Linked DNA regions of Lonchura striata. The protein of the gene in region 2 binds, or shares a complex with, the protein of the main gene of each other region. Links are inferred from orthologs where the notes say so. Each region holds a gene or a part of one and is shown on either strand. Other genes may lie near its edges.

Region 1 (7,080 bases), on a different chromosome or scaffold from region 2:
CCCCCCCGGGGCATGTGAGGCAGCTCCGGGGCTGTGGGGATGACATCCCCACGGGAGAACGAGGCAGTTCGTTGTCTTCCATTTTTGTCCGATATCCCCCCCGGTGTTTCCCTCCCTCCTCCCCCAGACAGCCTCGGCTGTTTGACCCTGCTGGAGCTGAACGCAGGGAGAGGCTCCCCTGCGGGGGCCACCCCCGCCATGGAGCCCCCCGCCCGCACCTGCTCCTGCGGCTCCCCTGCCTCCGACAGCGAGGCCGAGGCCGGCAGCTCCCCCCGGAGCCCCCCCAGACCCGAGCGCAGCCGCAAGCGCCCGGCGGGGCTGGACCGAGCACCCCCCGAATCGCCGCCCTCACCCCGCGGGGGGAAGCGCCCGCGGAAAGGAGAAGGGGGGGATGTCCCTCCCAGCGATGGCGATCGCCTCTTTGCCCAAAAGGTGAGTTTTTTGGCAGAAAACGAAGGGGCACCCCCAAAGATGGGAGGTGAGGGAGGGCTTGGTGTCCCCTCAAAAAACCCCTGGGTCTGCCTCAGTTTCCCCACTGAAACGGGCGGGTGGGGATGAGCAGGATTCGGGGGGTGAGAGGGAGGTAAGTGGGGTGTGAGGGGGTGCACCAGACCCCCTCTCCAGTCTGGGTGCAGCCCAGTCACCTCCTCCTCTTCCTCCTCTTCCTCGCAGTGCCGGGAGCTCCGGGGCTTCATCCGGCCGCTGGCCGAGCTGCTGGAGGGGCTGCGGCGGGGCCGGTATGACAGAGGTGGGTGCCCCCCACACCCTCCTCCTCCTCAAAGCATCCCTTTCCCTCTGGGGAAAATTCACCCAATTTCGGGACTCCCCAGGGCTGAGCAGCTTCCAGCAGAGCGTGGCCATGGACCGGCTCCAGCGGATCATTGGGGTCCTGCAGAAGCCAGAAATGGGGTGAGGGTCCCCAGCTATCCCCGGGGGGGGCGGGCACGGGGACACCTCCTCCGCAGAGGGTGACAGAGCTCTCTCCCCGCAGTGCCCGCTACCTGGGGACGCTGCTGCAGGTGGAGGCGATGCTGCGCCTCTGGTTCCCCCACGTCGCCCCCAAACCCACGCTGGACTCGACCCCCTCCACGGCTCCCCCGCGCCGCCGGCCCCCCGCCGGTCCCCCCGGGGCTCCCCGGTGCCGCCGCCTGCCCGGGGACCTCCCCCTCGCCAGCCCCGCGGGGACATTACAGCAGCGGGGGTCCCCCCGGTGCCAAGCCGGGACCCCCGAGTCGCCCCCAGCGCCGGACGTGTGACGCCCCCCCCGGCTCGGGGGGGGGGAAGATCTCGTCTGCATTTCTTGGTTTTGCCTTTTTTGATTTTTTTTTTTTTTTTTTTTTACGGGTGGTCAGTGAGACCCGCGGGCGGGCGGGACTGACCGGGGGAGGGGTCCCGACCCCCCTCCCCACCCCAGAAGCCCCAACCGCGGGGCGGCCGCGTGCCTTGGCCGGAGCGGAGCCCCGTCCCCGCGGGGACCGGGCTCTCCCGGGCTGGTGCCTTCCCCCCGAGCGGTGGGTGCGGAGCCCCGAGCGGGGCGGGCGCTGCTGGAGCAATAAACGCCGCGGGAGCGGCCGGGGCCAGCCGCTGTCGTGTCCTCTGTGCCTGGGCAGGGCGGGGGGTGCGCTCCCGTCCCGGCGGGCTCACAGCCGCCCCCGGTGCCCCGCTGTCCCCCGGCCCGGCTGCGGGCGGGACAGCCCCGGGAGCGGCACGGGTTCCGCCGGTACCGGGGCTCTCCCCGCCGGAAGTCCCGGCGGTAGCGGAAGTCCCTCCCGACGGAAGCTCCTCCATCAGTCACGGGGCTGCGGAGCTTCACCGGGGTCAGCTGGGGAGAGCAGCGGCACCGGGACCCGACCGGGGCACGGCACCGTTCGCGGGGCGGCGGGTCCCTTGGGGCTCTGCGGGGGGAACCGAGCCCTCCGTGTCCCCGGGAGAGGGCGGGAGGGACCGGCCCCTCTCCGTACCCGGGGTTCCCTGCCGTGTCCCGGGGCGGGGGGAGGAGGGACGGGCTCCTGCGGGCGCCGGGGCTGCCCGGTCCCAGCCGCTCCGTCCCGCAGCAGCGCGGCCATGGCGAACCACCTGCGCTTCGTGGGCCGCACGGTGATGGTGCAGAACGGAAACGTGGAGGCGGCGTACGGCGTCCTGAACAGGTGAGGATCGGGGGGAACGGCGGGGTTTGGGCCCCGAGGGGCTCCGATTCCTTCCCGTGCTGGGTTCAGAGCCAGAATTTCTGGAGCAGAAGGTGACGGGAGGGTGGTGCGGGGCTTTTCCCATGAGCTCCACGTCCCACCGCCCCCTCGGATGGGCTGTAAGCAGCGTGAAATCGAGGAAGAGCTGAGCGCTGCTTCTCGGGGAGCTCTGCGCTCACACACCTTCGTTGGAGCCGCCTTAAACGGAGCTCGGGGGGTTCCTTCCCCTCCTCGCGGGTGGACGGCGAGGAGACCGAGCCGAGGGTCCGCACCGGGACCGAGCCGTGCACAGGGTCCGCACGGAGACCGAGCCGAGCCAGGGTCCGCACGGGGACCGAGGGTCCGCACCGAGACCGAGGGTCCGCACCGGGACCGAGCCGTGCACAGGGTCCGCACCGGGACCGAGGGTCCGCACGGGGACCGAGCCGGGCCCAGGGTCCACACCGGGACCGAGCCGTGCACAGGGTCCGCACGGAGACCGAGCCGTGCACAGGGTCCGCACGGAGACCGAGGGTCCGCACCGGGACCGAGGGTCCGCACGGACCGAGCCGTGCACAGGGTCCGCACCGGGACCGAGGGTCCGCACGGAGACCGAGCCGTGCACAGGGTCCGCACGGAGACCGAGGGTCCGCACCGGGACCGAGGGTCTGCACGGACCGAGCCGTGCACAGGGTCCGCACCGGGACCGAGGGTCCGCACGGGGACCGAGCCGTGCACAGGGTCCGCACCGGGACCGAGGGTCCGCACGGGGACCGAGCCGGGCCCAGGGTCCACACCGGGACCGAGCCGTGCACAGGGTCCGCACCGGGACCGAGCCGTGCACAGGGTCCGCACCGGGACCGAGGGTCCGCACGGGGACCGAGCCGGGCCCAGGGTCCACACCGGGACCGAGCCGTGCACAGGGTCCGCACCGGGACCGAGCCGTGCACAGGGTCCGCACGGAGACCGAGCCGAGCCAGGGTCCGCACGGGGACCGAGGGTCCGCACGGGGACCGAGCCGGGCCCAGGGTCCACACCGGGACTGAGCCGAGCCCAGAGTCCACACCGGGACCGAGCCGAGCCCAGGGTCCACACCGGGACCGAGCCGTGCACAGGGTCCGCATGGGGACCGAGCCGAACCCAGGGTCCGCACCGGGACCGAGCCGAACCCAGGGTCCGCACCGGGACCGAGGGTCCGCACGGACCGAGCCGTGCACAGGGTCCGCACGGGGACTGAGCCGAGCCCAGGGTCCACACCGGGACCGAGCCGTGCACAGGGTCCGCATGGGGACCGAGGGTCCGCACGGGGACCGAGCCGTGCACAGGGTCCGCACCGGGACCGAGGGTCCGCACGGGGACCGAGCCGTGCACAGGGTCCGCACCGGGACCGAGGGTCCGCACGGACCGAGTCGTGCACAGGGTCCGCACGGGGACCGAGCCGAGCCCAGGGTCCGCACGGGCCGAGCCGTGCACAGGGTCCGCACGGGGACCGAGGGTCCGCACGAACCGAGCCGTGCCCGTTCCTCTCTGCTCGGCAGAGCCTTCCCCGCCGCTGTCACGGCTCTCTCCCCTCCCGCAGGATCCTGGCGCAGGACGGCGTGGCCGAGGCGGTGCGGCGCTCCCGCTACTACGAGAAGCCGAGCCGGGCGCGGCGGCGGCGGGCGTTCGAGGCGTGCCGGCGGGTGTACTGCGCCGAGATGGCGCGCAGGATCGCCTTCCTGGCGCGGAGCGCCCGCCAGGACCCGTGGCCGGGCTGCTGAGGAGCGGCCGGCCCCAATAAAGAGCCTTGGTTCCCGTTAATTGAGTTTGGTTAATGACGGTCTGAGGGGGCGGGGGCGGGGCTGAGCGTGGCCACGCCCCTTGCCGGGTTCGCGCGCGCCCCGGCCCCGCCCTCCCGCGCGCTCCGCCGCGCAGGCGCCGCGCGGCCGTTTCCGCTTCCTCCCCGACGCGCCGTCACCGTCAGGGGCCGCCGGGCCGGGCCCGGGACCGGCGTGAGGGAACGGGGCCGGTGAGGAACACTGCGGCTCCCCGGAGGGCATGGAGGCAACGGGGAAAGCGGGCGGGCTACCGAGAGGGAGGCAGGCGGTGGCGGAGGTGGCCCCGGGCCCGGCCCGCGCGGAGCCGCTCGCCCGGCGCGCCGCGCTGAGGGGGCCGGGCCGGGCCCCGGGCGGAGCTCCGCGGCAGCGGGGCACGCCGGGCCCTGCGGGGCTGCGCGGGAGCGGGGTCGGCAGGAGCCGCGTGTCTGCGGTGGGACCGAGCTCCGTCCGTCCGTCCGTGTGAGGCCGGAGCGGGCGGCGGAGCCCCGGCGCGGTCGGGCGGTGCTCGGACTCGTTCATTGATCCTGATGCGGGTTCCGGGAGCTGCATCCCCACGAGCTGCTCCCCGCGGTGGCTCTGCCCGCCCGGTGTGGCACGGAAACAGCCGGGGAGCCGCTGCCTCCCCTCAGCTCCTGCTGGAGCTCAGGTCGGGGGAAGCTGGACCGCCTCTAATTACACGAGTTTTGTGGTTTATTATGGGTGTGCTCAGAGCTGTCGATGTGTCGGGGCCGTAATTTGTTAGTTCTGCTTGTCCTTAGCCTGTGCAGGCTCAGAAGTCGTGGGGAAATGCCAGAATCCGGGTTTGGGCTCTATTTGAACCTGTCTCTAAGGAAGCTGCCAGGAAAAGTAGAGCCTGAGGAGGTTCCCAGGCTCTGGAGGGAAACCAGAGCCGTGTCCTCTGTGGAGGACTGCTTGGTAGGACAGTGCAGATTCCCCAGCTCCTGGGGCCCTGCAGGAAGCAGCAGTCACCTCCTGGAACTGCTCATGGACCTGAAATCAGGGGATCTGTGTTAGGGATGACCCCAGGGCCCCATTCCCAGCTCCAGGAAGGGTAACTGAACACCATTCCCAGTTCCAGGAGGGATAAATGAACACCATTCCCAGCTCCAGGAAGGATAACTGAACCCCAGGACCCCATTGAACCCCAGGGCCCCATTCCCAGCTCCAGGAGGGATAACTGAACACCATTCCCAGCTCCAGGAGGGATAACTGAACACCATTCCCAGCTCCAGGAAGCACAGCTGTGCCAGGTGTCTGTTCCCACAGCCCCACCTGGGTGCCGTGGTGGGGCTCAGCCCTAAGGAGATTTTGCCAGATCCGATTAGGGCCCGGAGCCAGTTAAAAGCAGTTGCAGCTGCAGCCCAGGCTGTGAGTGCTGCAGGATGTGAGGGGCTGTGACTGCCAGGGAGCTGCCCAGATCTGGGGCTGCACGCTGGGGAAGAGGCTCAGATTGTTTTGTGTCCCTGGCGTGGGCTCAGTGGGAGCAGGGGGGTTCTGTCCCACGCGTTCCACTCGCAGTGCATCTCTCTTCCCAACCCCTGGAGCATCCCATGGAGGGATTTGGGGAGCTCAGAGGCTTTGTCACCGGGCTGGCAGCACAGAGAGACATGGGGAGCTCAGGGAGGAGCCAGGGTGGGAAGGGTTATCCTGAGAACACGCATTGCTGTCTGGTTTTGGAAGCACTCTGGTGTGTCCCTCTAGGATCCACAGCAGGTCCTGCGTCCCCTGTGTGGGGTCAGGACCTCCCTCCTCACGGGGTTTGCCTCGTTTTAGCCCGCAGGGGAGCCCACGAGAGCTTTTCCCAGCCGTGGAGCTGATCCTGAGGGTGAGGACACCCCAGGCCCGTGTTTGACGCGCTGTGTCTCCTCGCAGCCCGAGCAGAGATGTCGCTGTCCAAGCGCGAGCTGGACGAGCTGAAGCCATGGATCGAGAAGACGGTGAAGCGTGTGCTGGGCTTCTCGGAGCCCACCGTGGTCACCGCCGCGCTCAACTGCGTGGGCAAGGGCATGGACAAGAAGAAAGCGGCCGGTACGTGCGCAGCCGGGTCTGTAAAACAGCCCAAAACCTCGCCAGGGTGGAGGGGCAGGGGCACAGGGCAGTTCTCTCAGCCTCCACGAGGTGAGTAGGGGGAAATCCCTCAGACCAGACTCAACTGGAGGCCTTGGGATGTGTTAAAAGATCTGATGAGGAAAAATTAATTCCTTATTTGAGGAACTGTAAAAGGTAATTTTTTAGTGTGCTTTAGAAAGCGGCTGGTACGTCCGCAGCCAGGTTTGTAAAACAGCCCAAAACCTCGCCAGGGTGGAGGGGCAGGGGCACAGGGCAGTTCTCTCAGCCTCCACGAGGTGAGTAGGGGGAAATCCCTCAGCCCAGACTCAGCTGGAGGCCTTGGGATGTGTTAAAAGATCTGATGAGGAAAAATTAATTCCTTATTCGAGGAACTGTAAAAGGTAATTTTTTAGTGTGCTTTAGAAAGCGGCTGGTACGTCTGCAGCCAGGTTTGTAAAACAGCCCAAAACCTCACCAGGGTGGAGGTGCAGGGGCACAGGGCAGTTCTCTCAGCCTCCACGAGGTGAGTAGGGGGAAATCCCTCAGACCAGACTCAACTGGAGGCCTTGGGATGTGTTAAAAGATCTGATGAGGAAAAATTAATTCCTTATTCGAGGAACTGTAAAAGGTAATTTTTTAGTGTGCTTTAGAAAGCGGCTGGTACGTGCGCAGCCAGGTTTGTAAAACAGCCCAAAACCTCACCAGGGTGGAGGTGCAGGGGCACAGGGCAGTTCTCTCAGCCTCCACGAGGTGAGTAGGGGGAAATCCCTCAGCCCAGACTCAGCTGGAGGCCTTGGGATGTGTTAAAAGATCTGATGAGGAAAAATTAATTCCTTATTTGAGGAACTGTAAAAGGTAATTTTTTGGTGTGCTTTTTTTGCCCGTTACAGCCTTGCTTTGCTTCTGCATGGACTGGACCCCCTTAATCCCTTAGTTTAAAGCTCCTGACAGCACAATACACAGATCCCAGAGGCTTCCAGGCCTCCCTGTGCTTGTAGACTTGAATCACTTAAACTGAAGTGGTTTTTACATCTTCCATGTGGATTCTC
Region 2 (7,639 bases):
GTATTGTAACGGGAACTTGCCTCTCTGTCTCTTGCTCTCTGGGGCCTGCTGGGAGCTGTGGCTGCAGCCCCAGCAGGGCCCTGCTCCCGCTCCCTTTGCAATGCCCCCGAGTGCCGAGCCCGGCTGCAGAGATCCCCCGCTCCCGGCAGGCTCCCAGAGCCCCGCAGCGGCGCCCTGCCCGGCACCGAGCTCACCTCTCTGCCGATCAGCTTCACCCACACCCTGTCCCCCACCGCCAGCATCTCCGCGGGGCTGTCCACGGGGCACGAGGACAGCTGGCTCCGGTGCACGAGGCCTGCGGGGACAGAGGGACGCGGGGACAGAGGGACACGGGGACAGAGGGACACGGGGATTAGGGGGGACATGGGGGGACAGGGGGGACAGGACATGGGGACGGGCATGGGGGGGCCAGAGAGGGACAGGAGGGACAGAGAGGGACAGAGGACAGGAAGAACGTTCACACCCGCCTTCCCGAAGGAATGGACCTTCCCATGCCATGTCGGAAGAATGTGGTGGGGCTCATAAATTAATGCATCAAATTGATAAATTTTCCGTAAATTAATTAATGAAATAATTAATAAAATAAAAGAAGAATTATAACATTATTAAAAATAATAAAATTAATAATAAATTGATGCAATAAAAATAAAATTATAACATAAATAGAATAATAAATAAATAAAAACAATAACATGTATACTAATTACTACATTAATAATAAATTAATACAATAAAATGACAGCATAAATAGAATTAATAATAAAATAATGGACTAAAAATTGAAGTATAACATTAATAAAATTAATCAAAAAATCAATAGAATAATATATTTAATAAAAAAATTATTAAAATATTAAATTCATTTTACTATAAAATATATGTTGTTATTTATTACTAATTGTGTTATTGATGTGATACTTTTATTCTATGAAATAATAAAATTAAACCACAGAATTAGTAATTGCATTAATAAACCAACAAAATAAAATAAAAACATTAATAAAATTAATAAATAATAAAATTAATCAACAAATTAAATGAATAAATAGAAGATAAATAAAATATAACAATTATTAGTGTTCAATTCATCCTCTACTCATCCTCTTATCAGTTTTACACAAACATTCCTGCACTAAACCTTGGATCTGCATTTCCAAAGTGCCTTGGAGCAGGTAATCCTTTGGGGTGTGGGAAGGATGTGGTTTTATTTATCAATAAATAGGATTTAAAAACTATTTGTTTTAAATCCTTTAAATTGAGTTTTATATTTATTTCAATTTCTATTCATTTATTTTTACTTTCTTTATTTTTATTTATTTAAAAATATGTTCCCTGCTACAATTTCTTCTGAAAACTTTATTAATTCCTTAGCTCATTTTTAATTTCTGTTTTTTGGTTATTGTTTTATACTGCAGCTACCACCAGTAAAGCTGCAGATGTTAATAAATTATATATTCTAATAAATATAGGAATATATCCTATATATATAATATATATACAGTAATAGATGTATCAAATATATATTACATATTATATATACAATAATATACATTATAATATTATATATTTGGTTATATATTTTATCTATAGTATATACAATTATATACCCTATAATATATATATTATATATGTATCTTTTATATTTTATATATAATAAAATATATTATAACCCATCTACTGTTATATATGTTATATATACCTTCTATATAACATATATAGTAAAATACAATACATATTGTTACTATACTTATTATTACTATTATTACTATTACTATTATTATTTAAGTTCCAGAATTTCCCCAAAACCCACCACAAAATATCCTTAAGTTACAAAAAAGTCCTTTGAGTCATTCTTGGTAATCATTCTACAGTCCATCATCTTCTAAATGCTTCCCAAATTTCTTCCTCATTTAGGAAAAAACTCCTTTTCTGATTTTTTTTCTGGAAGTTTTTAATTGTGAGGCGGCTGCTTGCCCTGGCCACAGCTCCATAAAACAGCTCCAGGGACACCAACCTTGTTTCCTGCAGCCAGGGATTCTGATAAAGGCCCCAAAATCCGTCACTGCAGCAACCTGGGGAGAAAATCAGAGCAGAGCTGCAGGAATCCCTTCCCAAAGGGGGAGAAATCACAGCAGAGCTGCAGGAATCCCTTCCCAAAGGGGGAGAAATCACAGCAGAGCTGCAGGAATCCCTTCCCAAAGAGGGGAGAAATCACAGCAGAGCTGCAGGAATCCCTTCCCAAAGGGGGAGAAATCACAGCAGAGCTGCAGGAATCCCCTCCCAAAGAGGGAAAAATCACAGCAGAGCTGCAGGAATCAATTCCCAAAGAGGGGAGAAATCATAACAGAGCTGCAGGAATCCCTTCCCAAAGGGGGAGAAATCACAGCAGAGCTGCAGGAATCAATTCCCAAAGAGGGGAGAAATCATAACAGAGCTGCAGGAATCAATTCCCAAAGAGGGGAGAAATCACAGCAGAGCTGCAGGAATCCCTTCCCAAAGAGGGAAAAATCACAGCAGAGCTGCAGGAATCCCTTCCCAAAGGGGGAGAAATCACAGCAGAGCTGCAGGAATCCCTTCCCAAAGGGGGAGAAATCACAGCAGAGCTGCAGGAATCCCCTCCCACACAGAGGAGAGTGCCCAGCTCCACGTGTGGAGATGGGCACAGAATCAGCCATGGCTGGGCAGGAGGGACATTAAATCCCACCCAGTGCCACCCCCACTGTCCCAGGTGCTCCAGCCCCAGTGTCCAGCCTGGCCTTGGGCACTGCCAGGGATCCAGGGGCAGCCACAGCTGCTCTGGGAATTCCAGCCCAGCCTCCCAGGGAACAATTCCCAATTCCCAAAATCCCATCCATCCCTGTCATGGTAACAGGCCCCTGGCTGGGCGATAATTAGCATTGATTCCATGATTCAAGAAGGTTGATCAATATCTATCTTTTTTAAGAAACCCCCCCACTTTTATAGACAGTTACAATACAGCTAGACTTAATTGCTCCTCTAATCAAACCACTATCACTACTGGCTAATTAAGAAACCACCCCTTGGTAAATAAATCCCCATAACACATTCTACATGTTCACAACACCAGGTGCAGCAAGTGAAGATAAGAATTGTTTCTCTGCTCTTCTCACAGCCTTGCCCAGCACAATGCCTGGGAATGCCGTGTTTCCCTCTGTGGGCACAGAGCTGCTGCCACACACAGCCCTGCCCTCTGGCAGTGGCACCAGGAAGAGCCCAAACCTTTCCACAAGCCCTGCCAGGCTACAAACCCCCCCTGCATTTTCCAGTGGGGAACAGCACTGGGTGCACCTGGAACCATCCAGGAAATCATTATTTCCTTTCCTTTATCCCTCTGGTGCAATGATTTTTGGTCCTGGTTCTCATCCTTGATTTAGGAATCTGAATCCCAGAGTGGTTTGGGTGGGAGGGAATCTCATCCCAGCCCAGGGACCCCTCCCACTGTCCCAGGTGCTCCCAGTGTCCAGCCTGGCCTTGGGCACTGCCAGGGATCCAGGGGCAGCCACAGCTGCTCTGGGAATTCCAGCCCAGCCCCTCCCACCCTGCCAGGGAACAATTCCCAATTCCCAATCTCCCACCCAGCCCTGCCCTCTGGCAGTGGGAGCCATTCCCTGGCTCCTGTCCCTCCATCCTTGTCCCCAGTCCCTCTCCAGCTCTCCTGGAGCCCCTCCAGGCCCTGCAGGGGCTCTGAGCTCTCCCTGGAGCTTCTCCTCTCCAGGGAGCACCCCCAGCTCTCCAGCCTGGCTCCAGAGGGGCTCCAGCCCTGCAGCAGCTCCGTGGATCCCTCTGGGCTCTCTCCAGCAGCTCCAGGTGCTGCTCCTGTTGGAATTCCGAGCTCTGAGGGTGGGGAACCCAGTGACAGAAGAGGTCGGAACTGCCTCTCCTCGGCTGCCCCCGCAGCTGCACATGAACAGCCCCCGGACACAGGTTGTGCACCTGGACAGAGCTGTGCATCCCCAGAGCTCCCCCGCGCTATCCCGACCGAACCCACGGAATGAATTCCCCCCGAGCTTGGCCCGGGCCGCGCCAGCCGTGCCGCACCTCGCCCTGGAAGATGGAGTAGAGCTCGGGAAGCGGCTCCATCGCCTCCCGAGGCGCCGTGACAGCCAGCTGGATTCACCCTCGCTACCGCATCTCCTCTGCAGGATGCTGAGGAAAGAAAAATTTCATTAACGCCCGAAAAGCCCCAGAGAGCACCCGGGGTTCAGCGCCTTGAGGGGCGCGGGGATTGGACCCGCAGTGCTGCGGTGAAGGACTGACCTGGACCGGCGCAGAGGGACAGGACGGCTCCTCCCGGAGCCCGCGGGGCGGTGGGGGCTCGTCAGCACCCGCGGCAGCAACACCAGCGCGCCGCCATCACCCCCTCACGCTGAGGGGCCACGCTCCTCGCCAATCACAGCGCGCAATGTTGCCGTGGGATGGTCCCGCAGCCAATCAGCGTTACCCATACCACCCAGCGACCGCTTTCCTCCAATCAGAGCGAAGCGCGCCAGAAGGCGCCGCGCTCCCCGCTCCATCCTCGGCGCAGCGTCGGGGGGTGGGACCTGCCCGGCGCTCCGCCAATCAGCGCGGCGGCCGCGGCAGCGACAGCCAATGGGGCGCGGGGGGCGGGGCGCGGCGGCCGCCATGATCGAGCAGCAGAAGCGGAAGGCGCCGGGCCCCGCGCCCGGGCCCGGTCCTGCCGCCCCCCCGGGCCCCACCGGCCCCGCCGCCGCCCCCGCGCCCGGCCCCGACCTCCCGCTCGTCCCCGCGCCCGCCAAGCGGCCCCGCCATGACCTGCCCGGGGCGCCGGGCACGGGCGGCGCGGGGGGACAGCCCGCGGCCGGAGCTCTGCTGCAGGCGGTAACGGGGGAACGTGAGGGGAGGGTGGGAGGAGATCGGGGTGGGACGGGAGGTGAGGGGACAGGAGAGGCCAGGCGTGGTTCCAGGAGCAGGGAAGGGCCACGAGCGTGGTGGGCTGGACACTGCTGAGGCACCTGTGTTAGGTTCTAGGCCCTCGGCTGGGGCCTGTCCGCGGAACGGAGCTGGGAAGGGAACTGAGCCCCAGGAGAGGCTGAGGGGGCTGGGAAGGGGCTGGAGAATCCCTGAGGGAGCTGGGAAGGGGCTCAGCCTGGAGAAAAGGAGGCTCAGGGGGACCTTGTGGCTCTGCACAGCTCCTGACAGGAGGGGACAGCCGGGGGGTCGGGCTCTGCTCCAGGAACAGGGACAGGAGGAGAGGGAACGGCCTCAGGCTGGGCCAGGGCAGGCTCAGGGTGGCAGCAGCAGGAATTTCCCCATGGAAAGGGTGACCCCCCCCTTTCCATGGGGAAATTCCTGCTGCTGCCCACCCTTGGCCTTGGAACTGCCCAGGGAGGTTTGGAGTGCCATCCCTGGAGGTGTCCAAGGAACGTCCTGGATGTGGCACTCAGAGCTCTGGGCTGGGGATAAGCTGGGGACCAGGTTGCCTCAATGACCTTGGAGCTCTTTTCCAGCCTCAGTAATGCTGGAATTCTGGTGGGATGTGCTGTGGGAAGGTGAAGATGCTCGGCAGGGGTGGCAGGCTGGCCTTGCCCCTTGTCCCCTCACGGTGTCTCGGTGTCCCCCAGGGCCCCCCGCGCTGTTCCTCGCTGCAGGCCCCCATCATGCTGCTGTCAGGACACGAGGGGGAGGTTTACTGCTGCAAGTTCCATCCCAATGGCAACACCCTGGCCTCAGCTGGCTTCGACAGGCTCATCTGTGAGTGGCACTGCTGTCCCCTGCTGTCCCCCGGGCTCAGGCCCTGTTGCTGGGGGGTTTTAGCTCAGCCCTCACCTGGCTGGGTTCTGGGTGTGAATTGCTCCCCCATGGGGGTGCAGGAAGCTTTTCCCAGCTGCTCTGGCAGGTGCCATCCTGATGGTGCTGGAAAAGTGCCTTGCTGGGTGCCAGCTGTGACCGCCCTGTGTCCCTGGCACACGGCTTCCAGAGGTCTGCAGAAATGCAGTTTTAATGCTTAGGCTTCCTGAGGCAAAAATTATAATTGTTCATAATAAACTCACCTTAACCAAGCTCCCTAAAGCTGCTCTGCCCTGGGGCTCACACGATGCTTTGTCACTGCTGTGAGTTGTCCCAGCTGGGACTCAGCAGTGGGGCTGGTCCATCCCCACTTTGCTGAATCCCCAAAGATCAGCTCCATGCACAGCAGGGGCTGTTCCCGAGCCTTTCCTGTGCTCACCTGTCCCTTGCTGTCCCCCAGTGCTCTGGAACGTCTACGGGGACTGTGACAACTTTGCCACCCTGAAGGGACACAGCGGGGCTGTCATGGAGCTGCACTACAACACGGATGGCAGGTGAGGGCAGGGGCTCTGTGCTGCTCAGGGACTCACTGCAGCTCAGGGAACAGGGCTGGAGCCCCAGGAGAGGCTGAGGGAGCTGAGAAGGGGCTGGAGCCCCAGGAGGGGCTGAGGGGGCTGGGAAGGGGCTGGAGAATCCCTGAGGGAGCTGGGAAGGGGCTCAGCCTGGAGAAGAGGAGGCTCAGGGGACCTTGTGGCTCTGCACAGCTCCTGCCAGGAGGGGACAGCCGGGGGGTCGGGCTCTGCTCCAGGAACAGGGACAGGAGGAGAGGGAACGGCCTCAGGCTGGGCCAGGGCAGGCTCAGGGTGGCAGCAGCAGGAATTTCCCCATGGAAAGGGGCTCAGGCCTTGGAACTGCCCAGGGGGTTTGGAGTGCCCATCCCTGAGGCGGCAGTCAGAGCTCTGGACTGGGGACAAGGTGGGGACCAGGCACAGCTTGGATTTTATGTTCTTGGAGCTCTTTTCCAACCTAAATGATTCTGGGGTTGTCACCTGTGCTCAGTCCATGGACACCAAGTCCTTGTAGTGTGGGCAAAGGATCTGGGGGCACCTGTGACCCCCCCCAGTGCCATTGATGCAGTTTTGGGGCACAGAGGGAAGTTTGTGTTGGGTGCCCGGGAGTCACTGGGGAGGGAGACAGAGCAAGTGAGATACTGGTTAATTTAAAAGGCTGTTCCACCATTGCTGCTGAGCTTTGCTGAGCTGTGCTCATCCTAGATGCTGCTTGAGGAGGCAGCAAAACCATTCACAGCAGGGATTAAGGGGAGTTTATCCATGCAGCTGTTCCAGTGTCAGTCAGTGTTTCAGGCGCCTCCAAAACACCAACAGGGGAGGTTGTTCCTGAAAGGAACTGGGAAGGGAGCTGGGCCCTCACAGTGGTTGTTCCTGCAGCATGCTCTTCTCAGCATCCACGGACAAAACCGTGGCTGTGTGGGACAGCGAGACGGGCGAGAGGGTCAAGAGGCTCAAGGGCCACACGTCCTTTGTCAACTCCTGCTACCCTGCCCGGAGGGGCCCCCAGCTCGTCTGCACGGGCAGCGACGATGGCACTGTCAAGGTCAGTGTGTGCCCTGGGCAAAGCCTAGGGAAAAAAGGTGGAGAAGCTTTTAGGATCTTCCCCTTTATCTGGGCTGATTTCAGCCTTTTGGTACTCGTTTCGTTAGCGCTCTGAGTTCAGAGGCAAAAATGTGACAGCAAATTTCACTGCTCTGTTTTTTCTGTGTTTCTCAGGGGGTTTGGGAAGCTTGAGCTGCTCAGCTGGGATTTTTCTGCTGCTGTGGCTCTGCACAGCTCCTGCCAGGAGGGGACAGCCA
Region 3 (7,047 bases), about 2.1 Mb from region 2:
ATTATTTACATTCTTGTCCAGCTCTTTCCCAGGCTTCTGCCCAGCTAGAAACTCTCAGTTTCTTTCTTTGACTGAATCTGAGACCCACACTCCTGTGCATCACAGCGAGCAAACAAACCAACATCTCCTTGAAATGCTCTCACAAACCTTGAAATGCTCTCACATCCGTGGGACTGATGCTAAAGCTGTTAGTGCTGGCAGCAGCACCCAGGAGCTGATGGCTCCATGCCCAGGGTGCTTCTCTGGGATTAAGAAACAGTTCCCATCCCACAGAGTTGGGGTAAAAAGCCCTGTTTTCTGTTTCCTGTGAATGCTCCCAGTCAATCACAGCTGCTGGGTGACTCCAGCCTGGATTCACACCCCACACTGTGTCTAACCCCCTGTGTGATTTCTCTGCTTGCTGCTAGCTGAATTTCAGATATATTTGGCCACTGCTGGGATGACCTGCAGCATAAATTCCACTTGACATGTGCCAACAGCAAACTGTCCCCTCCCAGCCACCCATTCCAAGGCACTTGCTTTGTGTGCTGCTTTCCTCCCTTGCTGGAATTTGAAATGCAGGGAGCTCTTACATGAACTAAACTCACTTTTCTTACTTACATTAAAAAAGACCTCACAAACTGCATTATGAAAACCAACTCAAAAACCATCTCAAACCCCTTCAGAACTCCTCCCAGGCTTTCACAGGTACTGGAAGACAGAACCCTTTTTAACCTAAGACTCTTGTAACTTTTTAACCCATACTGTAAAAACACAAACTAAACTCACTTTTCTTACTTAGGTAAAAAAACCCACAAACTGCATTATCAATTCAAAAACCACCTCAAACCCATTCAGAACTCCTGCCAGGCTCTCACAGGTACTGGAAGACGGTAACATTTTTAACCTAAGACTCTCATAACTTTTTAATCCTTTTAACCTAAGACTCTCATAACTTTTTAACCTTTTTAACCTAAGTCTTGTAACTTTTTAACGCATACTGTAAAAAACGTGAACTGAACTCACTTTTCTTATTTAGGTAAAAAAAAACCCCACCAACTGCATTATCAAAATCACCTGAAAAATCACCTCGAACCTGTTCGGAAGTTGTCGCAGGCTGTCACTGGTACTGGAAGACAGTAACCTCTTTAACCTAAGTCTTGTAACTTTTTAACCCTTTTAACCTAAGTACTGTAACTTTTTAACCCATACTGTAAAAACGCAAACAAAGCTCACTTTTCTTACTTACGTAAAAAAAACCCCATAAACTGCATTACCAACTCAAAAATTCCTGAAACCTGTTCAGAACTCCTGCCAGGCTCTCACAGGTACTGGAAGATGGTAACATTTTTAACCTAGGACTCTTGTAACTTTGCAACCCTTTTAACCTAAGACTCTTCTAACTTTTTAACCCATACCATAAAAAAACGTGAACTAAACTCACTTTTACCACTTATGTAAAAAAAACCCCACAAACTGCATTATCAAAACCAATTCAAAAACCACCTCAAATCCCTTCAGAACTCATCTGAGGTACTAGAAGACGGTAACATTTTTAACCTAAGACTCTTGTAACCTTTTAACACACTGTAAAAATGCAAACTAAACTCACTTTTCTTACTTAGGTAAAAAAACCTCCACAAACTGCATTATCAATTCAAAAACCACCTGGAACCCGTTTGGAAGCCCTGCCAGGCTCTCACCGGTACTGGAAGACGGCGTGCTGCTTGGAGCAGGAAGGGTGGTCGATGGGGATGTCGGCGATGCGGCGGTGCCGGCCCAGCAGGTAGGCGCTCTGCCTGTGGATGTACATCACGGGCAGGAACTCGTCGTTCTTGAAGGGGTACAGGCGCCAGCGCGTCTTGGGGATGCGCGCCTCGGGGGGCTCGCTGTACTTGATCACCACGCCCCGGAAGGTGTTGGTGTCCTCCAGCAGCGCCCCCGACAGCTCGAAGCTTGGCTTCTCCTTGTTGGCAGCGGGTTTTTCTTTGGGTTTGCTCTCTGCTTGCCAGGGCTCTGCGTTCTGCTCGCTGCTCTGCCGCTGCTCCCGCCGCCTCTCGTTGTGCAGCTCCCTCTCCGCCTGCTGCTCCCGCAGGCTCTGCGCCTCCCGCTCGTGGCCGCGCGCTCCCGGCCTCTCACCGGGGTTCTTCCTCCTGTCTGCGTGCTCCTTGTGCCGCTCCCCGCTCCTGTCCCGCTCCCGCCGGTGCTCCTGCTCCGCCGGGTGCCTCTGCTTCCGCTCCTCGGTGCCCCTGCGACAGTGATCGTCTCGCTCCTGAAGGGAGGATCACAGAGAGCAGCAGCTCAGCCTTTCGGAAAATCCCAGCGCCACGCGCTGGGAAAACACACACTGGGATGTACCGTGCAGCCCTGACACGACGTGGAACAGAGTTCCTTGCCAGCCTACTTGGGTTCCCACAACTGGCACTGAATAAAGCACCAGAAACAGCGAGTGTAGCCTGCTCTGGGGAGAGGACACAGCTCCCAGGGGTGCCTGTGCTGTGGCAGGAGCAGGGCTCCCATGGGAGCTCCACGGGCACGGCTCCGAGAGCAGCTACAGCCACGGGTGGCACAGCCTGAGCTGGGCAGCAGGAGCTCCGACTGGCCCAGATCCTCTCTCTGCTCATGGGACACGATGTAGGGCCCAGTCGGAATTGACACATGAAGAGGCGCCTACCGCACCCGCCGCGGCCGAGTCTCCCCACTCACCTGCTTTACCCTCACGGCGCCGTGGTGCGGGCTGTGGCTGCGGCTCCTCCTGCCTCGCGGGGAGCGGCTCCTCCTCCCGGACCTGCTCCTCCGCCGGGGCGACCTGGGGAACAACGGGAGGGGTTGAGCGGCGGGGCCGGGCCGAGCGCGGGGCCGAGCGGCTGGGCCTCCCTACCTGCTGCCGCGCCCTGCCGGGCCCCGCCGCTCCTCGCCCGGCGGCGACGCACTGCGCCGGGGGCTTCGCCGCTCGGCCTTCACCACCGCCGCCTCCCGGCGCCGCCGCCGCTCTCTCCGCCGCTCCTCCGCCGCCTCCATGGCGCCCGCCCGCACGGAAGTGCCGCCGCTTCCGCCCGCAGCGCTTCCGCCCGCGGGGCGGGGCCGCGCCTGCGCGGGGCGGGCGGCGCGGTCGCCATGGTGACGGGCCCGCGGCCGCCATGGTGACGGGCCCGCGGCCGCCATGGCGGCGCCGCCCGAGTCGCTGCTGCGGTACTGCCCGCCCGTGCTGGTGTCCCGCCGGGGAGACCGGGCCTCCGCGGCGGTGAGCGCCAGCGGGGGGCTCGCGGGGGGCCGAGGGTGCCGCGGCGCCCCGGCCGCCCTCACGGCGCTGCCCTCTCGTGTTCCCGCAGAGCCAGGCCCCGCGCGGCCCCGCCGGCCTCTCCTCCGCGCAGCAGCCGCAGGAGCTCCTGAACGCCATCCTGCCGCCGCGGTGAGCGGGGCCGGGCCGGGGCCGGCGGGGCCGCGGGGCGCCCGGCGGCCCCGGTAACGGCCGCTGCTTCTCTGGCAGGGAGTGGGAGGAGGCGCAGAAGCTGTGGGTGCAGGAGGTGTCCACCGCGCCCAGCACCCGCCGGGACGTGCTGCAGCTGCAGGAGCAGCTGGACCGGCAGCTGCAGCAGCGGCAGGCGCGGGAGACCGGGCTGTGCCCCGTGCGCAGGGAGCTCTACACGCAGTGCTTCGGTCAGTGCGCAGCCTGCACCTGGAAACAGCTCTCAATCCTCTCGGGTGTCCTCCTGGCTGCGCTTCAGCCAAGTTTGTTTAAAGTAACCTGGAGCCGTGTGTGTGTGTCACACACTGATGACACAGGAACCTCTGAGGGCTCCCCCATGACTGCAACAAGTCCATTACACGTTTTTGAGTGCTTGCTGTTGCAGCTTTAGGGGATAGCATCATTGGCATTGCCCGAAGAGCTGCACCACTGCTCTGCTTTTACCTGCTGCACTCAATGCTACAGCTGCAATGGAACTAAACAAATCAATTGTTACTGTCTCTAGGACATTCCATGTCCTAAATGTGGGCCCATTTACCCCAAAGGCCTGCATTTACCTCCCTAGGACCTTCTCTATTCCCTCAGAACCCTCTTTACCCTTCTATACAAAAGCTAAAACTTAAAGCATCATTTCCAGGACTTAATTTTCCCCTCAGGGCCCCATTTACCCTTCCAGAACCCCATTTATTCTCTGACAACCCTCTTTACTCTTCCAGGACCCCATTTACATCTCAGGACCCCACTGACCCTTCAGGGCCACATTTACCCTTCCAAAGCCCTGTTTTACACCGCCATGAAATAGGGAAGCTTAAGCTGCACCAAGGGAAATACAGGTTGGGTATTAGGAAAAAGTTTTTTATAGAAAGGGTGATAAAGTGCTGGAGTGGTTTGCCCAGGGAGGTGGTGGAGTCACCATCCCTCGTGTGTTTAAAAAAAGATTGTATGTGGCACTTGGTGAGGTTGTAGGGCTTGATGATCTCGAAGGTCTGTTCCAACCTGGCAGCTCTGTGATTCAGTGTGTGATTCCAGTTGTGTGGCACAGTGAGTGGTGGAGTGTCACTGCAACAGGTCCCCAGCTGGGTAAGTAGTGACATGAACTCCATGCATTTTATAGAAGGCTGATAATTTACTTTATAAAGAAACCCATTGCCTTTTTATACCCTAGTTTGCTACTGGTGGACTTAATTGGTCTTTTACTTAAAACACCATCACCATGAAGTTGATGCTAATTAAGTAACACCTGTTGGAATTTGTGGTATTGACGATTCTGAAATTGTAAAGAGTCTCTGTTTTTTTGCCTTGTTGTTAAAGAAGTAGCTATAATTTGTCTGTGCTGGTTTTTAAGGTTGTTTATTTTTGCTTATGTTCTGCTTCCCTGCTGCAGAGCTCTGTCCTGCAGGGCAGCATGTGGGGCTCTGCCCTCAGTGGGATGTTACAAACATTAAATACCAGAAACTATGTGTGCTGTATTTACAATAATGTGCTAATATCTATTATTTACATTGAATAGTGTGTTTCCAGCCTAAACCAATAGAAAAATGCCAACACCACAGTGAGACATGGAGGGCATGAAGAAGAAGGACAAGACACGCCCAATTTCCTCCATCTTGTCCCCTTTGAACCCCTAATCTAAAATTCTAAAATTTTACTTCTGTACCTGTGCTACATTTAATTATTACTTATATCAAACACTCAGAGCTGGTAGTTCATCCTGTAAGATTGAAAACTCTTTTCCATGGGCAGAGATCACAGCCAGTGTCTCTGGGGGCTCTGTCCAGGGGGGTTCCTGACCCCTGCCAGGGTCCCAGACCTGCCAGGGCAGCCAGAGGGAAGCCCTGGATTCCCACAACCACCCTTTGGTAAACAAACCCCCATAACACATCCCACATATTCACACCACCCGGTGCAGCAAGATAAGAACTGTTCCTCATTCTTTTCTCTGAGCCTGTCACTGCCTTTCCCAGAACGCTGCCTGGGAAAGCCGTGCTCTGTCTGTGAGAGGTGAGAGGAGCAGCCATGTCCCAGAGAAGGGCACTGCAGCCTGTGTTGCTCCCTTGCAGACGAGCTGATCCGGCAGACCACGGTGAGCTGCGCCGAGCGGGGGCTGCTGCTGCTGCGCGTGCGGGACGAGCTGCGCCTGACGCTCGCCGCGTACCAGGCGCTCTACGAGAGCAGCGTGGCCTTCGGCGTGCGCAAGGCGCTGCTGGCCGAGCAGGGCAAGGCCCACCTGGAGAAAAGGGTGAGGGGAGTGGGGAAAGGGTGGAAAGGCCACCTGGAGAAAAGGGGGAGGGACAGGGGGAAAGGGTGAGGGACTGGGGGAAAAGGGTGAGGGACTGGGGGAAAAGGGTGGAAAGGCCACTGGAAGAACAGGATGAGGGACTTGGAGAAAAGGGTGGAAAGGCCACTGGAAGAACAGGATGAGGGACTTGCAGAAAAGGGTGTAAAGGCCAACTTGCAGAAAAGACAAGGGACTTGGTGAAAAGGGTGTAAAGACCACTTGGAGAAAAGGGTGAGGGAGTTGGAGAAAAGGATGTAAAGACCACTTGGAAAAAAGGGTGAAGGATTTGGAGAAAAGAATGTAAAGACCACCTGGAGAAAAGGGTGAGGGGCTGGCGGAAAGGGTGGAAAGGCCACCTGGAGAACAGGGGGAGGGACAGGGGGGAAAGGGTGGAAAGGCCACCTGGAGAAAAGGGGGAGGGACTGGGGGAAAGGGTGAGGGACTGGGGGAAAAGGGTGGAAAGGCCACTTGGAGAACAGGGTGAGGGACCTGGATAAAAGGATGTAAAGGCCATTTGGAGAAAAGGGTGGAAAGGCCACTGCGAGAACAGGATTAGGGACTTGGTGAAAAGGGTGTAAAGACCACTTGGAAAAAAGGGTGAGGGAGTTGGAGAAAAGAATGTAACGACCACCTGGAGAAAAGGGTGAGGGGCTGGCAGAAAGGGTGGAAAGGCCACCTGGAGAAAAGGGGGAGGGACGGGGAAAGGAGGGAAAGGCCACCTGGAGAAAAAGGGTGAGGGGCTGGGGGAAAGGCCACCTGGAGAAAAGGGGGAAAGACTGGGGGAAAAGGGTGGAAAGGCCATTTGGAGAAAAGGGTGAGGGACTTGAAGAATAGGATGCAAAGACCACTTGGAGAAAAGGGTGAGGGAATTGGAGAAAAGGTTGTAAAGACCACTTGGAGAAAAGGGTGTAGAGGCTACACAGAGTGTAAGCAGTTGTTTCTTTTCCCATAGTCTGCACAGTAGAGTTTTTGTCCCCTATGCTAATTCCAAACCTCCACCTTCCATCTTGACACCTTCCTGTTTGCCTTACAGTGCTTAATGTCAAGTTTCTGTTGTGGTGGGTTATTTTATGGGAAGATCCTTCTTTGATAGTGTTCAGGGAATTTGTGCTCTTGAAATCTTTACAGCTTCTCGTTCTACAACAGATTCTAAATAATTACATTAAAAACATAGTCCACTGACTCTGCTCACCATGTATGAACTATGATACTGAATTTGTCTTTTACTGTTGAAAACAATGCAAAAGTAGAGTTTAATTAGTCTTGGTATCCCAATTAATATAATACAATTGTTTTACTGAAATCTGTTATTTTTTGTTTT
Region 4 (6,599 bases), on a different chromosome or scaffold from region 2:
CCGGCCCCGCCCGGCCCCGCCCCGCCCGGCCCCTGCGCCTCACCGAACTCGGCCACGATGGAGGCGAGCCCGCCATACACGAAGGGTTTCCAGTTGAGCGCGGACATCGCATGGCGGGCGGACACCGCCGCCACCGGGCCGGGACCGGAACCGGAACCGGAACCGGGCTCCGCCGCGCCGCGCCCGCCCCCTGCCGGCACCGCGCCCGGGAAGCCGCGGGGCCGCTCCACCCCAGCCCCGGCGCGCCCCCCGCCTCCCTCTGGGAGCGGTCCCGGGGCTCCGGGGCGGAAATTCCCCCTTGCGCCTAGAACCGGCACGGACCGGACCGGAGGCATTACTCGTTACACGAACCAAACCCAGCTAAAGCCCCTCCCTTCTCCGCCCTGCGAATCCCGCACTCCAGCGCTCCCGGCTTTCCAGCCAAATAAGACCAAAATCAGCTAAGAAAAACAGATGACACCTCTTCCCTGGCCACAGACAGGAACACTGCTCCCGGAACCAGCTTCGCCCTAACAGCAACTTTTATTAAGAAACCTTTAAACAAATCCATGATAAATCACCCCAGCACAGCAGTGTATCCCTGTGGATACATCATGGAATCCCAGATGACACTGGGCCCAAACCTGGCCCAGGAGGCCAGACAAGACACCCAGCAGCAGCCTCCGCCCCCAGAGCAAGAGGGAGACACCACCCCAAGGGATTTAGGGAAGGGGATTATCCTGCTGCTGCTCCCAGCCTTCACTGCTTGACACCCTCCTTGGTCATGGGACAACCCACTGTCCCAGCCAGCAGCACGGGACGCATGGAGAGCCATGGCCCAAGGTGGGATGAGAGGCAAGGAGCAGCTCCCAGGTGAAAGGTCCAGCCGCAGCATCCCAGGAGCTTGGAGCAGGTTTAGGCAGGCTCGGAGCCTCCCTCACCCCAATGCTCACCGAGGGCTCAGCAGCGGCCGGAGTCTCTGCCAGAGCCCCGCTCCCTGTGCCTGGAATGGCGCTCCCGAGATCTGTCTCCCCTGGGGGACGTGTCTTGCCGGCTGCTGTGCCCGTCGCCCCTCCTGCCAGCCTCCTCCCTCCTCTCCCGCTCCTCCCAGGAGCTGCTCTGGCCCCTCTGCTCGCGGCAGTTCTTGTCCCCCCTGCTGTCCGAGTGCCGCTGGTGCCGCCGCTGCTCCTCATCGCGCTGCGTCCTGCTCCCGGAGCTCCTGTCGGTGCTCCCGCCAGCATAGCGCTCGTACCCGGGGTCCTCCTTCTCCTTCTTGATCTTGATCCTGGGATGGGGCTCCTCCGTGCTCACCCGCTTCCCAGCCTGTGGGCTCGACTTTGATCGTTCTGCTCTGCTCCGCTGCTTCTCTGGAATTAGGGTTCACATTTCGGGATTGACAAAACTCCAGGAGCACCTTGCTCCCCATGGCTCCCCTGCCACCATCCCAACTCCTCTTCCACTACAAATTCTCCCCCTCCACCTAATTTCCCAGCCTGCTTCCCACCTCAGGGAGATCCCAGTCCACTTCTAAGCACAACTTTTTCTCCTCCAGCTGCAGCCACCCCACTTCTCTCTTGAACATACACATCATGTTCTTCCCAGCAAAGCTGGGCATTTCCACACCACCAGGAATGCTGAGAACTTCCAACTTCCTTTTCCTCAGTAACACTGTGATCCACTTTGTGGAAAGTATCTCTCCAGACCTGAGGACTGCCTCATGGCCTCATGGCTCTCCTTCTTCTCCCTCATTTTTGAGCATCTCCTCAGCACTCTGTCACAACAACTTATTTCCACCCTCATTTTGTGCCCATTTTTGTTCCTCCAAGCGTCCCTCCACGCAGACTCCAGCCCCCAAACCCTACCATGGGCACGCCCACCTGGGATCCAACCTGCCAGCAACACTCCTCACCTTTCTGCTTTTTCACGGGCACCTCCTCATCCTCAGACGGGGAGTCGGACGAGGTGTGAGGTGGCGTTTTCACCCCACAGCCCTTGGCATCGAGGGCTCTAGTCACATCATCCCAGTCCTCAGACTCCTTGGGGGGCCGGTAGTTGGCCACATGGTCCACGCGGATGGTCCGTCCCTTGATCTGCGGGGCCGGGCTGTCACCGCCAGCTCCCAGCTCCCAGGGCCGCTGCCGAGCCGAGGGAGCACTCGGGGAGCCACGGCAGCACCTGAGCCCCACTCACCTTGATCCCATTGAAGTTATCCACAGCCAGGATGGTGCTTCTCTGGTCCTCATAGCACAGGAAGCAGAAGCCCTTGGACTTCCCGGTCTTCTTGTCCCGCACGAGGTTGATGTTGACGACCTCGCCGTACCTGTGGCACACGCACCGTCAGCGCCGCGGCAGCGCCCGCGGCGGCGGGGCCGGGGCCGCGGCACTTACTGCGAGAACACGCAGATGACATCGCCCTCCGTCAGCGCGTAGTGCAGCCCGCCTGCGGGGACAGGGGAGGGAAGGAACGGCTCACCGGCACCGCTCCCGTCCCGGCCCCGGCCCGCTCCCTACCCACAAAGATCCAAGCGCTGTCCTTGTACTCCGCGTGCCACGACACCGCCTCCTGCACGCCCAGCTCCGCCTCCCGCGCGTTCAGCTCATTGATCAGCTTCACCTTCGTCAGGGGGCTGCGGGCGAGGCACCATCAGCACCGGCACCGGCGGGACAGAGCCGAGCCCGGCCTTCCCCCACACCCCTCACACCTACTTCATGGCGGCGGCAGCGCGCACTGCGCCTGCGCAACGCCCGCCCCGCCCCGAGCCGAGGCGGACGTAGCCGAGTGTGGCCGAGTCGGGCCGATTGTAGCCGAGTGTGGCCGAGTCGGGCCGATTGTAACCGAGTCAGGGCAATAATAACCGAGATAGCCCGAGCGCGGCCGAACAGGGCCGATTGTAGCCGAATCGGGCCGATTGTAGCCGAGCGCTACTCGCCGAGCCGAGCCGATCGCGGCCGAGCCGAGCCGATCGCAGGCGGTAAGGCAAAGCAAGAGTCGGGGCGCAGGGGGCTCAGAGCCTTTATTGGGGTCCGGGCGGGTCCCGCTCAGCACGGGCAGGAGCCTTTCCCGCTGGCCTCCTCCAGCCGCCGGGGCTGCGGCTGGGGCTGCGCCGGCCAGCCCTCCGTGTCCCGGCAGGGCAGCGAGCGCTGCGCCTTCAGCCGGCACACCAAGCACATGAAAATCGCGTCCACGTTCTGGCTTTCCTGTGGGTCCTTGGCCGAGGTCTCAAACAAAAGCATGTTGTGAGCGTCGGCGAACTTGAGGGCCAGGCTGGATGGCACCTGGATCAGGTCTTTCAAGTCACACTTGTTCCCCACGAGCACCCTGGGGACGAGCGGGGGCACCGCGTGCCCGTTGCACTCCTCGATCCACGTCTTGAGGTTGGTGAAGGAGCTCATCTTGGTCACGTCGTACACGAAGACCACGGCATGCACATTGCGGTAGTAGTGCTCCACCATGCTCTTCCGAAACCTCTCCTGGCCAGCTGTGTCCCACACTTGCACCTGGGAAGCGAAGCAGACAAGGAAAGACGCTACAGGAGTGTGGAGCCTGGCCCTGGCAAGGCTATGGGGAGGGGGTTGCAGGAGGGCTTCCTGCTCTCTGGGCATGGTTTGGACTGGAAAGGAACTTAAAGATGATACAGTCCAACCCCTGCCATGGGCAGGGACACCTTCCACTGTCCCAGGTTGCTCCAAGCCCTCTCCAACCTGGACTTGGGCACTTCCAGGGATCCAGGGGCAGCCACAGCTGCTCTGGGCAACCTGTGCCAGGACCTCCCCATCCTCACAGCCAAGAATTTCTTCCTAATATCCAATCTAAACCTGCCCTCCCTCAGTTTAAGGTCATTATCCTGTCCTCCATTCCTTGTCCCAAGTCCCTCTGTGGCTCTCTTGGAGCCCTTTCAGGCACTGGAAGCATGTCTAAGGTCTCCCCTGAGGCTTCTCTTCTCCAGGCTGAATAAACCCTGCTCTCCCAGCCTGACTTCAGAGGAGCTGCAGTCCTCAGAGCATCTTTGCATCCTCCTCTGGACTCATTCCAACAGATCCATGTCTATTTGTGCACCAAATCCTACGCCATGAATGAGAATGCTGATGATTTCACAGAGGAAAAGAAAAAATGAGGAGGGGGAGCCACCCTTTGTGTAGGAGTACAGTGGGAGGGCCAGGAGCTCTGTGGGAATGGGTGAGGAGCCAACAGAGCTCATGGGGGAGGATTAAAGAACGAAACATCACAGATGACATTGTAGGGGGTCTTGGCTATAGACCACCTGGCCAGGAAGAGCAAGCAGATGAGATGCTCTGTGGACAGTGAGCAGCAGCCTTGTGTTTGCAGCCCCTGGTTCTCACAAAGAACTTCAGCCACCCCAATATCTCATGGAAGGACAGCACAGCAGAGCACAGGCAATCCAGAACATTCCAGGACACCATCGATGACAACTTCCTGACCCAGGTGACAGAGATGCAAGGAGGCCTCTGGGCTGGATGAGCAGACAGTGAGGGAACTGGCTGAATGTCATCTGCTCCTAGACGGTGCTGGCCAGTGACACCAAGTCTGGCTGAACACTGGTAACCAGCAGAGTGCCCCGGGGGTCAGTCTGGGTTCTCCTGGTAATGTTTTGTAGCCTGGAAGTGGCAATTTCCAAGTTAATCCAAATTGCCCTACCCATGGAGACAGTACCTGCCTTGGAGTCTTTCCAATTGAAAAACGCTGGCAAAGCAGAGCTGCTGCTCAGCCCTTTCAGAGCCAGTCTCTCCCAGGCAGAGCAAGAGAAGGAGGATCCTTGTCCACCTCTCACCTCCTCTCTAGGATACATATCCCAGGAAATGGCCAGTTTGCTGCACTGCCTCCCACTCCTGCCCACTGGAGCTCAAATAATATCCAAAGGTAGAAAACCTGGCAACATTTTCCAGCTAGTGGCAGCACACAGGCTCCATGCCAGCCTGCACCACAGCTCACACCAGCACAGCTCCGTGGGGCTGCACAGAGCCAGGGAGGGCAGGGAGAATGACCATCTCTAAAGGAGAGCGGGAAAAACATTCATGGACAGCCTAGAAGCACAGCTAAAGCTCTCACCCACCAACACAAGATTGGGTTTCATTGTGAGTTCAACTTTCAATCAGCCATCTGTCAGTACAGCAGTGATGTTTGTTCTTCCAGCACCAGTCTGATCCCCACAGCTGGGCAGGCCAAGCTCCACCACAGACTCTGCTCCCAGGGGTTTCCTACCAGTGGCAGATTGCTCTGACACACCAGCCAGAGCTCTTCAGGTCTGGGCTGATCATTCTTTACAGGTGTCACACAGCCTTCCTAAGAAAATTCATCCTGCTGCAATCGCAGCTCCAGGTGCAGCTGGGAGCAGGTTCCTGCACTGCTGCTGCCACCACTGAGCCCGCTGCCGCTGGCCCATGTGAGCTCTCCGCCTTCCAGTGTGGCTGCTGCCAGCCCATCACTCTCTGCCCCCCAGAGTCCTGTCCCCCATCCCACCGCAGCTCTACCCCTCCGCTGGTCCAGTGTTGGGAGCTGGAGCCACCCCAATGCTGCGAGGATCCAGCTGTGCCCATCGCAAGGGTGGCGGTGACTCACCCCGAGCCATCACTTCTGATCTCTGCATGCTCAAGCCAACCCCAGAAATAGTGACAAGGCAGCAGGGACTGGTCCAGGGCCATCTCTGCAACATAGGGATGAGAATTCTTCCCTGGCCCTGTTCCCTCTCTCCAGCTGGGCTGTAAGGAAAAGCCCCCAGGAGGGGTTTGGCAAGAGGCAGGGATGGGGACCGGCTGCCATCGCTGCTGGGGCTGCTGCCGGCCAGATCGGGGCCGGTGCGGGGCCCACCGGGGACAGAGCGGGGCCCACTGGAACCGGTGTGGAACCCAGAGAGGGCGAGCGAGCCCCGCCGGGGGCCAGCGCACGGTGTGGGACCCAGCGGGGGCTTAGCCGGTGTCGGCCGGCCTGGAGCCGGTGCGGGGCCCACCTTGATGCGCTCCCCCTCGATCTCCACCGTCTTCTCGCGGAAGTCCACGCCGATGGTGGCCTCGGTCTTGCCGGGGAAGGTGCCCCCGCAGAAGCGGAAGGTCAGGCACGTCTTGCCCACGTTGGAGTCTCCGATCACGATGATTTTGAAGATGCGGGTCTGCACGTAGGGCTCCAGCGCGGGGTCGGGGCCCGGCGGCCGCGCTCCGCCGCCGCCGCCCGCCGCCATCCCTCCCGCACCGCTGCCGCCTCACCGGCTCATCGGGGCGCGTCGCCCCGCCGACCGGCTGCGGCACCGCACGGCACCGGGTCCGCCCCGCCGACCGGCACCGGCACAGCTCCGGACAGCGGCACCGCTCGTCTCCGCCCCACACCCCGGCACCGGCACAGCCCCGCCCCGCGGACCGGCACCGGCACAACACGGCTCCACCCCACGCACCGGCACCGGCGCAGCCCCGCGTAGCGGCACCGGCACAGCCCCGCCCCGCACACCGGCTACGGCACCGCACGGTCCCGCCCCGCGTAGCGGCACCGGCACAGCCCCGCCCCGCACACCGGCTACGGCACCGCACGGTCCCGCCCCGCGGAGCGGCACCGGTGCAGTCCCACGTACCGGGACCGGCGCCACACGGTACCGCCCCACGCACCGGCTACG

Evidence for each region.
Region 1: SNRNP40 (region 2) and PRPF3 share a complex: the UniProt entries of both Homo sapiens proteins name them as parts of the U4/U6-U5 tri-snRNP complex. The link is inferred for Lonchura striata from reciprocal best matches to the Homo sapiens genes SNRNP40 and PRPF3.
Region 3: SNRNP40 (region 2) and SNIP1 share a complex: the UniProt entries of both Homo sapiens proteins name them as parts of the minor spliceosome. The link is inferred for Lonchura striata from reciprocal best matches to the Homo sapiens genes SNRNP40 and SNIP1.
Region 4: SNRNP40 (region 2) and RBMX2 share a complex: the UniProt entries of both Homo sapiens proteins name them as parts of the minor spliceosome. The link is inferred for Lonchura striata from reciprocal best matches to the Homo sapiens genes SNRNP40 and RBMX2.

What each region holds. Positions count from the first base shown.
Region 1 is NC_134635.1:2,813,110-2,820,189, forward strand, and holds the start of PRPF3 (U4/U6 small nuclear ribonucleoprotein Prp3), read left to right. Parts: upstream 1-4,064; 5' UTR 4,065-4,173; intron 4,174-5,854; 5' UTR 5,855-5,865; coding exon 5,866-6,010; intron 6,011-7,080. Other genes in the region: CIART (circadian-associated transcriptional repressor), read left to right, coding at 128-432, 673-748, 831-909, 992-1,256; MRPS21 (small ribosomal subunit protein bS21m), read left to right, coding at 2,065-2,147, 3,745-3,925. UniProt on the Homo sapiens protein: Plays a role in pre-mRNA splicing as component of the U4/U6-U5 tri-snRNP complex that is involved in spliceosome assembly, and as component of the precatalytic spliceosome (spliceosome B complex).
Region 2 is NC_134628.1:6,738,771-6,746,409, forward strand, and holds the start of SNRNP40 (U5 small nuclear ribonucleoprotein 40 kDa protein), read left to right. Parts: upstream 1-4,638; 5' UTR 4,639-4,644; coding exon 4,645-4,860; intron 4,861-5,603; coding exon 5,604-5,733; intron 5,734-6,229; coding exon 6,230-6,323; intron 6,324-7,217; coding exon 7,218-7,383; intron 7,384-7,639. Other genes in the region: ZCCHC17 (zinc finger CCHC domain-containing protein 17), read right to left, coding at 195-295, 2,015-2,072, 4,060-4,101. UniProt on the Homo sapiens protein: Required for pre-mRNA splicing as component of the activated spliceosome. Component of the U5 small nuclear ribonucleoprotein (snRNP) complex and the U4/U6-U5 tri-snRNP complex, building blocks of the spliceosome.
Region 3 is NC_134628.1:4,688,625-4,695,671, forward strand, and holds the start of SNIP1 (smad nuclear-interacting protein 1), read right to left. Parts: upstream 3,001-7,047; coding exon 2,861-3,000; intron 2,789-2,860; coding exon 2,686-2,788; intron 2,252-2,685; coding exon 1,683-2,251; intron 1-1,682. Other genes in the region: DNALI1 (axonemal dynein light intermediate polypeptide 1), read left to right, coding at 3,143-3,223, 3,312-3,391, 3,470-3,639, 5,509-5,687. UniProt on the Homo sapiens protein: Required for pre-mRNA splicing as component of the spliceosome. As a component of the minor spliceosome, involved in the splicing of U12-type introns in pre-mRNAs. Down-regulates NF-kappa-B signaling by competing with RELA for CREBBP/EP300 binding.
Region 4 is NC_134616.1:15,333,048-15,339,646, reverse strand, and holds RBMX2 (RNA-binding motif protein, X-linked 2), read right to left. Parts: upstream 2,703-6,599; 5' UTR 2,691-2,702; coding exon 2,686-2,690; intron 2,607-2,685; coding exon 2,491-2,606; intron 2,420-2,490; coding exon 2,368-2,419; intron 2,300-2,367; coding exon 2,170-2,299; intron 2,070-2,169; coding exon 1,889-2,069; intron 1,347-1,888; coding exon 940-1,346; 3' UTR 504-939; downstream 1-503. Other genes in the region: SLC25A14 (brain mitochondrial carrier protein 1), read right to left, coding at 44-107; RAB33A (ras-related protein Rab-33A), read right to left, coding at 3,019-3,477, 5,946-6,173. UniProt on the Homo sapiens protein: Involved in pre-mRNA splicing as component of the activated spliceosome. As a component of the minor spliceosome, involved in the splicing of U12-type introns in pre-mRNAs.